Arabidopsis thaliana: one gene and its partners. The protein of the gene in region 3 interacts with the protein of the main gene of each other region in a pairwise test. Each region holds a gene or a part of one and is shown on either strand. Other genes may lie near its edges. The genes, in order: TPR2, WSIP2 and bZIP23.

Region 1 (3,755 bases), on a different chromosome or scaffold from region 3:
AGGTAAGCACTAAGCGTTTCAAAAACAAGGAAAACCTGAAGGCAATTACCTCGTTGGATGTTTGTGCAGACCGTAAGCGTTTCATGAGTTGCTCGTGATCAGCACTTTGATAATCCATTAATCCTAGAGAGTTAGACGGTGCCCGAGGGTGTTTCAGCTCATTAACTGTTGAGACGAAATACAGCAATAGAACTTCAGGTCTTAAAATTCATTTCCTAAAAACTCTAATATCACAAGTAAGAAAAAAAAACGAAAGATACCATAATATCCAGACACTTGTAAGTTGTGACATAAATTATACCTTGACTTGGCTGCATAGGAAATGGGGAAGCAGCGACAACACCAGATGGAACTGATGAAGAAGGATTTGGGTTTGCCATCCATCCAGCTAAAGCATTGGCATTAGGAGCCGGAGCAGGATTAGATTGAAAGGGCTGCACAGATACAGTTGTTTCATCAACCCTCAAAATATGAACATTAAGTTATATAATAGAATGGGTGGAAGTTAAGTAAGTGATCCTACTCCACCATGCACTCCAAGAGGAACAAAGTTTGAAGGTCTTGCAACAGCAGCAACTGGAAGATTGACAGGAGTGAGTGCACGAGCACCGTTTGATGGTGAGCAAGAGTGATCCAAGAACAATGTCTTGATGTCAGGATTAGGCCTTGGATTTTTACATAGCTGATGCTGCCAGTTTAAGCTGCAATGTCCCAAACACACTTGTCATACACTTTAACTAATCTCTATAAAAAAAGGAAAGAATTATGACTCCTCCTAGTTCACCTTTGATTGATCAAAGTTCGCAGGCGAGAAGCTTTGAAACTGGGGAAGGCTAGCTTCTCTCGAAACAGAGGATTCGCCTCAATCAATTTCTTCAACTCAGTATACATTATAGACCTTGCAGATTTAGTATCACCATATTTCGACAGTTGCTCATTTTCCCTAAGAAAAAAACACACTCTTCAACATTATCGTAACCACCTACCAAAACTTCAATAATATCAATGGCAAAGTAAAAAAAAAAAGAAACCTAAAATTCTCCAGAGTAAGCAGCTGAGTAATCTCCTTGTAAAGCTCCTCGTTAAATGTAGCGAAAACTTTCAAGTCTTTGGCTAATATCTCAACAGCTTTTGCTCTGTCATTTCTGTAATAAAAACACACAAATGTATCAAATCAACAACACTAGTCTAAATATCCGACCAAACAAGAAGAGAAATCATTACCGATCTAGAGCTTCGAGATACTTTTGCTTCCTAATCTCAAAGAAGATTTTCATAGAGTAACGATTATCATCGACTTTAGTGAAACCAGAAAGATACTTCTCCACTTCATCCCACTCTCCAGCAAGAGCTTTCTCTTCAAAGTACTTAATGTTAAAGAAGAAGCCAGATTCTTGCTCTAGCCTACACATCAACCAATTCCAAATTATACCCAAAATTACGCAGAGAAACCAAACAAGCACACAAAAACGACAAAGCACAAACTTACTTGTGAACAGATTCCTTGAACTTCTCCTCATCTAAGAACTGGAGAATTAAGAAAACTAACTCTCTGCTCAAAGACGACATTTTTTCCTAAAACTCTCAGAAGAAGAAATTCAAGGAATTTAAGCGATCTGGGTTTATCGTGAAAGAAGGGTAGGTCAAAGTTTGCGAAATCGATTTAGTCGTAGTTGAGAATGAGTTTTCTAGGGTTTCAAGGTTGCATTTCCTCGCGTCGCAAAGCGAACATTAAGAAAAAGCTGACCCCAGAGATGCTACAAAATTTCTATTTATATTTTTTCATTTAATAAAAAAGGAAAAAGATAAAGAAAAAAGTACGACTTGTTCTCCACTTTCTTCGATGCGTTTTGTCACACAGACTGTAGTTTGATAAGTTAACTAACTTATCATTGATAAGTGCTTTCGTTGTCGTATAAGTTGATAACCTCGTTTGGTTAAACTGTTTGGTCTGATCCCTTAGCTTAGGGTTTTTATCTGATGCGGGTGAGCCCACCGAAAGCAGATGTGGGATCTCAGAGTATTCTCCGTATCTGAATTGTATTGACACTTGTCGCGCTTGTGATGCATTTTTAGGTGGGGGTGCAAAGTAGTGGATTATAAACCCTTAGGTGGGTTACGTCACGCGGATTCGAAAAATGGAATTGAAGTGAATTGAGCAGAGTTTTACTGGCGTCCGCCACATGTTGTTGCCTTGTTAGGGGGAATGACGTGGTCTCGATATCTGCGTCTATCTCGTAGAAGTTTTCGTCAGAGCGTGAGAAATACGAGATACTTGCTCAGCTAGAGATTCTCGTAATAATATTAGTTGAGAGCGACTGCTAATGGCTGCGACCAAATCCAGCCAATAATTCTTTGTTTGATCGATATTATAATTAGTCTAATTAAATTATGTACGCAATGCCATAAACAAAACATATGAACATATTTTAAAAAACATTTAAAGTGTGACTGATGGATCATCTTAGTTTTTTTTTTTTTAAGTAATGATTTTCATAGTGTTATAAACATCTAAGAGAATTCATCATCAATTAACAAATCTAAGAGAATTCAAGTCCTAACAATACTATTGGTCAAAAAGTTCATGATTATGTTTTCTCCTATGTTTTTGGAGCATATGAGGATAACTAGAAAAAACAAGGTTACTGTAACCATTTTTATGTATATAACAAGACAGAAAAGAAACTTGAAATTTAATTACACAAACTCTCTAATGTTTCCACATGGTGCTAATCATTTGTTTTTGCTATACGATCAAATACAAAAAATGTATTGGTCCCACATTAAGAGGCCGACTTGATAACTGAAGCCCAGGTTTAGCCCAGTGAGTTGTGTCTTCAATTGCTGTTACATATATAGCCGGAAGGTACGAAAAGAGTTGTAGAAGCTTTGACCTAACTTGGAGATGAGAGATTCAACAATGGCGATGTCCGATCTTCCCCGAGATTTGGAAGAGGAAGTGCTCTCTAGGGTCCCGTTAGCATCTCTTAGAGCAGTGCGAACTAATTAATCGAATATGGTTGCCTCGCTCTTGACATAATAATGGTTTGATCATTAATTTGTATGTCAGACCATTATTATTCACTTAGTATGTAATCTCTCGTTGGCTCTTCCAATATTTTTTTGAAACAGCCGAATACATCTTAGACACTTTTTTCCTTAGAAGCTCTCTTTAGCATTGCTATTTAGATGAAAATAAAGAAGTTCTGTATTGTCCATGATACAATTGTTGTTCTCTTTGCATATGAAAAACAAAAAAATGACTTTATAACATGTTTGTGTAACACATGAGCTTGAAAGCAAAGGAAATAGATGCTTTTTACCAGCTACCAGAATTGATATGTCCACTCTCTTTAAATCAACATATCGGGTCCGATTGGTGACCTATAAATGAATACAAGGAATGAAGAAGAACATGACTAAAAAAGAACAAACAGGAAAAGAAAAAATGATAAAATAGGAATGAAAAGGAATGGATATAAAGGAAAAATAGAACAAATGTTACTGTAAATGATAACCAAAACATAGAATAAATAGTAACAAAAATTAAAAAATAAATAAATTATTTTTCAAATTAAATATTAAATATAAAACGAACATAAATTTAATTTTTATTTAATAAATATTTAATTTTTTTTCCTGTTTGTTCCTCATCAAATTTGGGAAGGAAAAATTTTCTTCTACCATTCCTCAAAAAATAAAGAATGATTAGGAATATTGTGGGGTCTACATATTACAATTTGGAAAAAAAATAC
Region 2 (3,755 bases), on a different chromosome or scaffold from region 3:
AAATGTTTGCTTCTCTATCTATTATCTATAAACAAGAGTATTGTGAAATTAAACAAAACGGCTGATATGAGCATATAGTTCTCTCTCTCTCTCTAATCCACCATAGAGACAGTTTACCACTAAAAACTGCTTTAGTCCGTAAAAGAAAAGAGAGACAGTTTACCACTACAGCTCTGGAAAATGTAACTCAGTAAATATATTTATATCATTTCATGCAGTTCAGTCAGTCAAAGAAGCACAGATAACCATCCAACTAATGATGATCTAAACAAGGGATGGCAAATTACATAACCGTATAAGCTAATATTTGGTAAACTAAATCTCCAACACACATATTTCAGAAGAATAAAATTAGTAGGGACAACATTACCAGCACTGTTGGGGGCACCTAAGCCGATAGGCCCAGCGGAAACAGTAGGGTGTTGTACCGATGGATTAGGCATCCATCCTGCAAGAGATGTTGTAAGAGGAGCTGGTGTTGGCTGAAATGGCTGAACAAGAGCATACAAACTAGCAAAGTTAAATTCATGTGCTAAAAACTAATCCAACAGAAGCTGTAATCTTAGAGCAACTTACACCGTGAGCACCTAATGGTGGGAAGCCTCCAACTTTAGGGACTGAACCCATTAAATGATTAGTTGTAGGGGAAGGAGTGTGTGCACCATTGGGATGCCCACACGTATGGTCAACAAATAGTGTTTTTATATCCGGGTTAGGCCTAGGATTCTTGCAAAGCTGATGTTGCCAGTTCAAACTATGATTCAGCAGAAGCAACGTTCAGTTAGTTGTTCCACCAAAAGAAAAACGGGAGCAAAAGTTAAAAAAACAAAGCTTGTACCTTTGATTTATTAAGGTTCTCAATCTAGAATTCTTCAAACTGGGAAATTGAAGTTTGTCTCGGAAGAGAGGATTTGCTTCAATCAGTTTTTTAAGTTCCCCAAGCATGATACCTCTTGCGGACTTAGTATCTCCATACTTGGAAAGCTGCTCATTTTCCCTTGAATTATTGCAAGTAAATGAAACATCAACACCACAAGCGCATGGTTTATAACAATCCAGTGGTCAATGAAACCATAAAAAAAAAGTGCTAAGAAAGTAAAGAATGTACCTGAAGTTAGTCAAGGTTAAAAGCATGGTAATCTCCTTAAAAAGCTCTTCGTTGAATGTCGAGAACACTTTCAACTCCTTAACAAGAATATCAACCGCCTTGGCATGATCTTTCCTATGGTAAAACAAAAGATGGGAAAACAAATCAATACTCAAAACCACACTTCAATTCAATAAAACTAAACAACACAAGTGAAACTTTACTTGTCAAGTGCTTCAAGGTACTTCTGCTTCCGAATCTCGAAAAATATTTTCATAGAGTATCTATTATCATCAACTTTAGTGAATCCAGAAAGATACTTCTCTACATCATCCCATTCACCAGCTGTTACACTATCTTCAAAGTACCTCATGTTGAAGAAAAAACCAGACTCTTTCTCCAACCTAATTAGTCAAAAAAAATATCCAAAGTTGTAACTGCTTCTGGATTAACATTGAAGAAATAATGCTAAATTACAAAATCAAAATTAATTAATCTTAATCCCTACTTTACTCTAATCCCGACAATCAAAGGAAGAGGGACCGCAATTAAACAATGATATAATATAAATTACCTGTGAACAGTATCTTTGAATTTCTCTTCATCGAGAAACTGAAGTATTAAAAACACGAGTTCTCTGCTGAGTGACGACATATCCTCTTCTTATTGCTCGCTCTCCGAAAGTAACAGATCGATCACAATACCACTCATGAACCACTAATCAAACACAAAGACACAAAGAGAGAATTAGGGTTTTATAAAAGAAAACATCTTCTTCACACCCCAAAAAAGGAAAGACAGATCTAAAAAAAAAAACGAAATCGATCGAATTCGAAAGACGAATCCCCCCAAACCCAGGTGGCACGAGATGTGCACGTGCGAGAATATACGAGAGAGGCTCCCGAGAAAGAGATTAAAGAAAAAAAGGAAAGTTTATAAATATAAATACCTGTTGAATTTTGACTTTGAAGAAGGAGAGAGACAAAGCAGAGAGGAAGAAGAGGAAGAAGAAGAAGAAGAAGAAGAAGACTTTGGAGAAGAGAGAGAGAGAGACGTGGGGGCTATTTATGGCGATAATTTCTGATGCTGTCTCGTTTTCGGAGTTTCCTTTTTTTTTTTTTGGATTTATTGCTTTTTATTTTAATTTATGAGTTTTTATGATTTAATTAATTTGTTTTTGTGTGGTCGTTGGGCTTCTATTTTTTTTAATAGAAGCGTGTATTTTGTAGATAGGAATTTACTCAAAAAGCTTAATCTCCCCACTATAATAAGTAACCTTCGTTTTAATTACTTTTTCTAAAATTTATTTTAATTTAATGTTTTCGTATTTTATTTTAATTTAAGTGACGTATTGATGTTGTTGCGAATCTAGTACAACACTGCTGTCTAATTTAATGCTCTCTCGTTAGGTTTTGAACGTAGCTGGGGATTTTTTTTTGTTTTTCAAACTATACATTAAAGTAGAGTATCTCATAATTGGTTTATTTCTGTTTCTGTATAGAATTTAGTGCCATTATATTATTTTTATGACATCAACTAACCGTCAATTAATATTGCAAATATTTTTTTTATGAATTAATTATTTAAGTAATGGATTTTGAAGTTTTTAATTTAGAGAAGAATAGCAGTAAATCAGATGTGATATTTTTATTTCCAGTTATGTAGTACGCAAATTAATTAAATTTTATTTTCTTCATCTTTTATTGTCAAAAAAACAAATTAAAGGTTTTATGGATAATTTACTTTTGGAAAAATATAAATCTTATGTGGTAACAAATAAGTGAATTTTACAAATGTGTATTCTTTCTTTTTTGTTATAGTAATTCACAGTAAAAAGTGGAGTTTTATTCTATAATACGGTTTGTAACGCATTTCCGTGAATATATTATGCTAATTTGTTAGGAATTTAAGAGATATGGCCTATTCACATGTTTAGTTTTGTTCTATTTATAAAAAAAAAAAAAATCAAAATTTATATTTGTACTTTATTTTTTTTCCCATGGATGTTTTGGCTAGTAATTACTATGCTACTTCAACAGTCCATCCACATTATGGTTCTAGTAGGAGTCATATCAAATCTTCTTACAAGTATTCCTACACCAGTATTGCTTACATTGGTTTGGGCTTTTAGGTCTAGATTATCGGGGGAATTGACTGGCCCAATTGCTAAACATGATTGGGAATCAATTTCGTCCCAAACATGTTTTCCTTGAACAATCACTTTGATGACAATGACACACCCAGACAGTTATCAATGACTGCAATTAATCAGCAAATGGTTCCATAAGCCCATCTGCCCATGTTGGTGAAGAAGCATCACCTCAAATATATAATTTTAAGATGAGAGAGCAAACATTCCTTTCTGATCGCTCTGAATATTTTAGCAATTTACTAAACGTAAAGTTATTTTCATAGCTTTAATTCAAAATTTCTGTAACTAGAGCTAGCAAAGAAACAAAGACTTGTGTTTAATATTATATTTTTGAAGAAGATAGTAGAATCTTCTGTCTATTTGTTTAATATTTGAAACATCGAATAAATGGTTTCAATGAGTTGTCCTGACTCATCAGCCGACCCTTAACAATGACTACAACAACTTCAAATTTTAAAACATCAAGTATCTTCAACAACATACCCTTTCCGTTTTATATTAAATAATTGGTAAAAT
Region 3 (3,755 bases):
CGAGATGGCTTCCCATAACTTACTTTTCCAAATGCAACATTCAATCTCTTCTACAAGAACTTCACAACAAAAAAAGAAGCTACTAAAGTACAAAACCAAATAGCAAACTCGATTTGAATATTAACAAGTCTTATTTCTAGCTTCAACGAGCTCAACAAGGAAATGCAAAGAGACTAAAAACCTGATGATAGCACAAATGGACTTGAAGGAAGCTGGTGATGCAGTTGAACTCTACTACTTATTGGAAGAAAATTAACTACCAACTTGAAAATGGGGTGAATGATTGATAGTATCACATGATTGATGATACTTCAAACTGCTTTCGCTGCTCGAGGCTCACCTGTTGCAAGATCAAAAACCTTGAGTTCATAAACAAAATATACACAAACCACAAGTTTAAACAAAAAACGTTCAAGGGAACCTCAGAAATGACACAATTCCAGGATAAGTACAGTGACAATATGGAAGTAACTACGATGAAAACTGTATAAAGATATAGCTATTAAGGACAGCCTCTAGGAAAGAGATCCAAAGGAACTAGAATGTCACCTTTTCTCTTATTAACGCCGGATCCATTGACAGTGAATGTTCCAATTCCATTACTACAAACAGGGATCTCCTTGCCAGCTAAATTCTGATTAGCCAAGCATTCTAGCTGATCAAACTCACAACCATTTAGCCCTTGCTCATTCATCGATGCACCTTCTCCATTATTCCCATTTTGAAGGCAGTACAAGTTATCAACATCACATTGCATATTGCAAGGATGCATCATGTATGAGTAAGGCACGTTTGTAACCGCAGGTTTCTGATAAGGAAACGCACCAATCTCTCCATCAATTCTTCCTCTTATATCAACAAGCAAACACTTGAGCCTAGTAACCTCAGCTTCCAATGCAGCTTGACCTTGCAACCTCTTCAACAGCTGATTATTAACCGCCTTAAGCCTCATAACCTCATCCTCCAACGAAGCCGCTTTAGCCTTCTTCTTCTCCCTATACTTTCTAACCGCTTCTCTATTCCCTAAAGGTCTCTTCTTCCCTGAAGATTCCGATGTATCATCAGTAGAAACTTTGTCAGGAAGAATCTTGGTGTGCACATGGAGACATGTGTGAGTATGTGTGTTCTCTGGTCCCGGAGGATTACAAGTGTGAGTATGAGTACAAGCATGAGAATCTCTCAAAAGCTCATCGAAGAACGAATCCATCGAACAGCTAGGTAATTCACCACCCATGTTTGAATTCGAAAACTCAAGCTCACCGTCGTCCATTACTCAAAACCCAGTAACAAAGAAGTAACCTTTGACTCTTTTGATTGAATCTTAACCAAAAAGTATGAGACTTTGTGATCAAAAACCAAACAACAACCTAATTGCAGAGTGAAAACACAATCCAAGCGATTCAGAACCAATTATCAATAACTAATCATTGGCTGATACTAAATTGAATAGAAAAATCGTACCTTTAAAGGATCAGCAAGACGAAAGCTTGAGGAGAATCGCCATTACGATTGCGAATTTGGGAATTGAGAAACTTATGGGCGAAAACGGCGAGAAGGGTTTAAGAGAGAATTAGAAATGGGAACCCTAGAGATGAAGAGGTGCAATGAACATTGATGATTAACAGATGGCATTATTTCCATGGCGGAAAGAAGACATGGACGTACCAAAAGGAATTTCGAATTGCAGAAGATTCTATTGTTTAATTTCGTATTAAAACTTTTATTTGAGTTTATAGCTCAATTTATAACTCGAATTATATTTTTAAATTTAGTTTTTTTCAACCAAAGTAATTTGCGTTGCTATTTTTTATACCCATTGAAAAATTTCTTTGAATCAATATTCTAACTGAATAATTTTTTTTTCTTTTTTTTTTTGAAGACGCTGAATATTTTTTTTATATAATCAGTTAGATAAAATCATCAAAACATTGTATTTAAAATTAAAATGTATATTAATTTTTTAACCTATAACTTTATTTTTAACTTAATTTTCAATGAAAAATGGTGAATGAAAAAAAAAAGGATGATAAAAAAATGATAGACTAACAAGAGGACAAAATTATGAGGTTGAAATCATTTCAATAGACATGTTTTTATTTTATATTTATTTGTTTTGATTTAAATTGGCCTAAAAAGTTATATAATATCTAATTGTTTGCTCTTAAACTAAATTTTACAAGGATTAATTTCTACTTTATAATGGGGTCAATTTAAAATAATTAATCAAAATTGAACTAGTTTTAAAAATTCCATGGACAAGATAACATCTTGCTGGTAAAAAGGGCCAAAAAAAATCTAATCATAGTCATGGGAAAGAAGAAAGAAGAGAAGAAATGGGAAAGAAGAAAGGAGAGAAGAAATTGGAAAGAGAAGTACAAGAAGAACTAGGACGAGAACCAAAACAGATCAATTATATGGTGAGTTCCGATTATTTATGTATCTTTTTAATTTTTGAGATGAAGAATCCTATATTTATGCAAAAACAGTGTTGGCCTTCAAATTATCTATTGATTGTCAGAACATCCTTCGAGATATAACCAAAAATAAATCAATAAAATAGCTCGAATCCACCCAAAATTGGAATTGAAATTCTCTTTGGTTCCTCAAAATTTGCACAAAATACATCAACAAAGAAGATTCCTCAATATTAGTCAAACATAGGACTAACCTTTCAATATCAAAATAGAAAGAAAAAACTATCAAGTAGAGATTATGGCCGATTTTTGTGGATTGTCACTAAAAATAAATCAACGGATAAGACATGAGGGGACATATTAATTACGATCAATTAAATAACTATTTTAGAAATATTTTTTAAACAATATGTTTGTTTTGCAGATTCCGTGATACAATTTCTTTGTTTTTTTGCCAAAAAATCATAGAAAATATTATACTTTTTCAGTATAAAGTAAAATATATATTTTTACGGGAAGAAGACTCTCTCTAAGGTTTCAAAAAATTTAAGGTATTAATTTTAACTTTAGATTTTGATTCTTTTTTACTTCCTCTAAAAAAATTCTATAGATTCAACCTGTACATCACGGATCTAAATATTATTTGGTTTTTATATTATATATTTTGTTCAAAATGTATAACAACTATTTTGCGCAAATCTAGTATTATTTATTCAATTAAATGCGTCTTGCCATAGTGGTCGTATAATTCGCTCTCTTTAATCCCGCGCATGGTTCGAGACGAAGTTACTACCACTACTTTTTTTTCTCATTTTAATTAGATGGAACCGGTTTAGCTTTCACCGGTCTAGTCAATTTCGATTAATTTATCGAAAAAGTCAATTACAAATTTACAACATCACAATAATGGTTTGTTCCACCAGTTTAGTTGGTATTCATAAACTTTTTTAGAAAGACATTTATTTATTGTTGATCATTGTTTTGTAATATTGTTATATAAATCAGTCTACATCTAGTTTAATTAGCTATCAAATCAACCTAAATATTTTTCTTTGTTCCTTTCATTGATGATATTCAGTCAAAATCTACTTCTATTTTCTATATAATCTAAGACGTCATCCCAAATCCGCTCCAAAAGTTCCACGATATTTGTTATAAGAAAAACAAGTGTGTATTCCATATTTAACTAAACAAAAAACATGCGGAAGTATGAACTAGCGATATAATTTGATTGTTAAGTGCAACTATTGATTTTAAGAATAACGTGCCGGACACAATCATTAATTTGAAGATTTGATTTCATATACAAAAAACTATAGTAAGATTAATGAGTTTTTTTTT

The links.
Region 1: the proteins of bZIP23 (region 3) and TPR2 interact in a two-hybrid assay, tested with the Arabidopsis thaliana proteins (one study listed by BioGRID).
Region 2: the proteins of bZIP23 (region 3) and WSIP2 interact in a two-hybrid assay, tested with the Arabidopsis thaliana proteins (one study listed by BioGRID).

What each region holds. Positions count from the first base shown.
Region 1 is NC_003074.8:5,729,523-5,733,277, reverse strand, and holds the start of TPR2 (TOPLESS-related 2), read right to left. Parts: upstream 1,760-3,755; 5' UTR 1,570-1,759; coding exon 1,490-1,569; intron 1,405-1,489; coding exon 1,225-1,404; intron 1,146-1,224; coding exon 1,032-1,145; intron 944-1,031; coding exon 785-943; intron 702-784; coding exon 524-701; intron 435-523; coding exon 302-434; intron 166-301; coding exon 50-165; intron 1-49. UniProt on the Arabidopsis thaliana protein: Transcriptional corepressor. Negative regulator of jasmonate responses.
Region 2 is NC_003074.8:5,370,129-5,373,883, forward strand, and holds the start of WSIP2 (WUS-interacting protein 2), read right to left. Parts: upstream 2,162-3,755; 5' UTR 2,037-2,161; exon of another isoform or gene 1,805-2,036; 5' UTR 1,742-1,804; coding exon 1,662-1,741; intron 1,492-1,661; coding exon 1,312-1,491; intron 1,223-1,311; coding exon 1,109-1,222; intron 998-1,108; coding exon 839-997; intron 755-838; coding exon 577-754; intron 492-576; coding exon 371-491; intron 1-370. UniProt on the Arabidopsis thaliana protein: Transcription corepressor of Zinc finger transcription factors GAF1/IDD2 and ENY/IDD1 in regulation of gibberellin homeostasis and signaling.
Region 3 is NC_003071.7:7,277,374-7,281,128, reverse strand, and holds the start of bZIP23 (Basic-leucine zipper (bZIP) transcription factor family protein), read right to left. Parts: upstream 1,699-3,755; 5' UTR 1,462-1,698; intron 1,368-1,461; 5' UTR 1,271-1,367; coding exon 550-1,270; intron 341-549; coding exon 312-340; 3' UTR 182-311; exon of another isoform or gene 1-181. UniProt on the Arabidopsis thaliana protein: Transcription factor involved in the response to zinc ion deficiency. Binds to the consensus sequence 5'-[AG]TGTCGACA[CT]-3' also called zinc deficiency response element (ZDRE).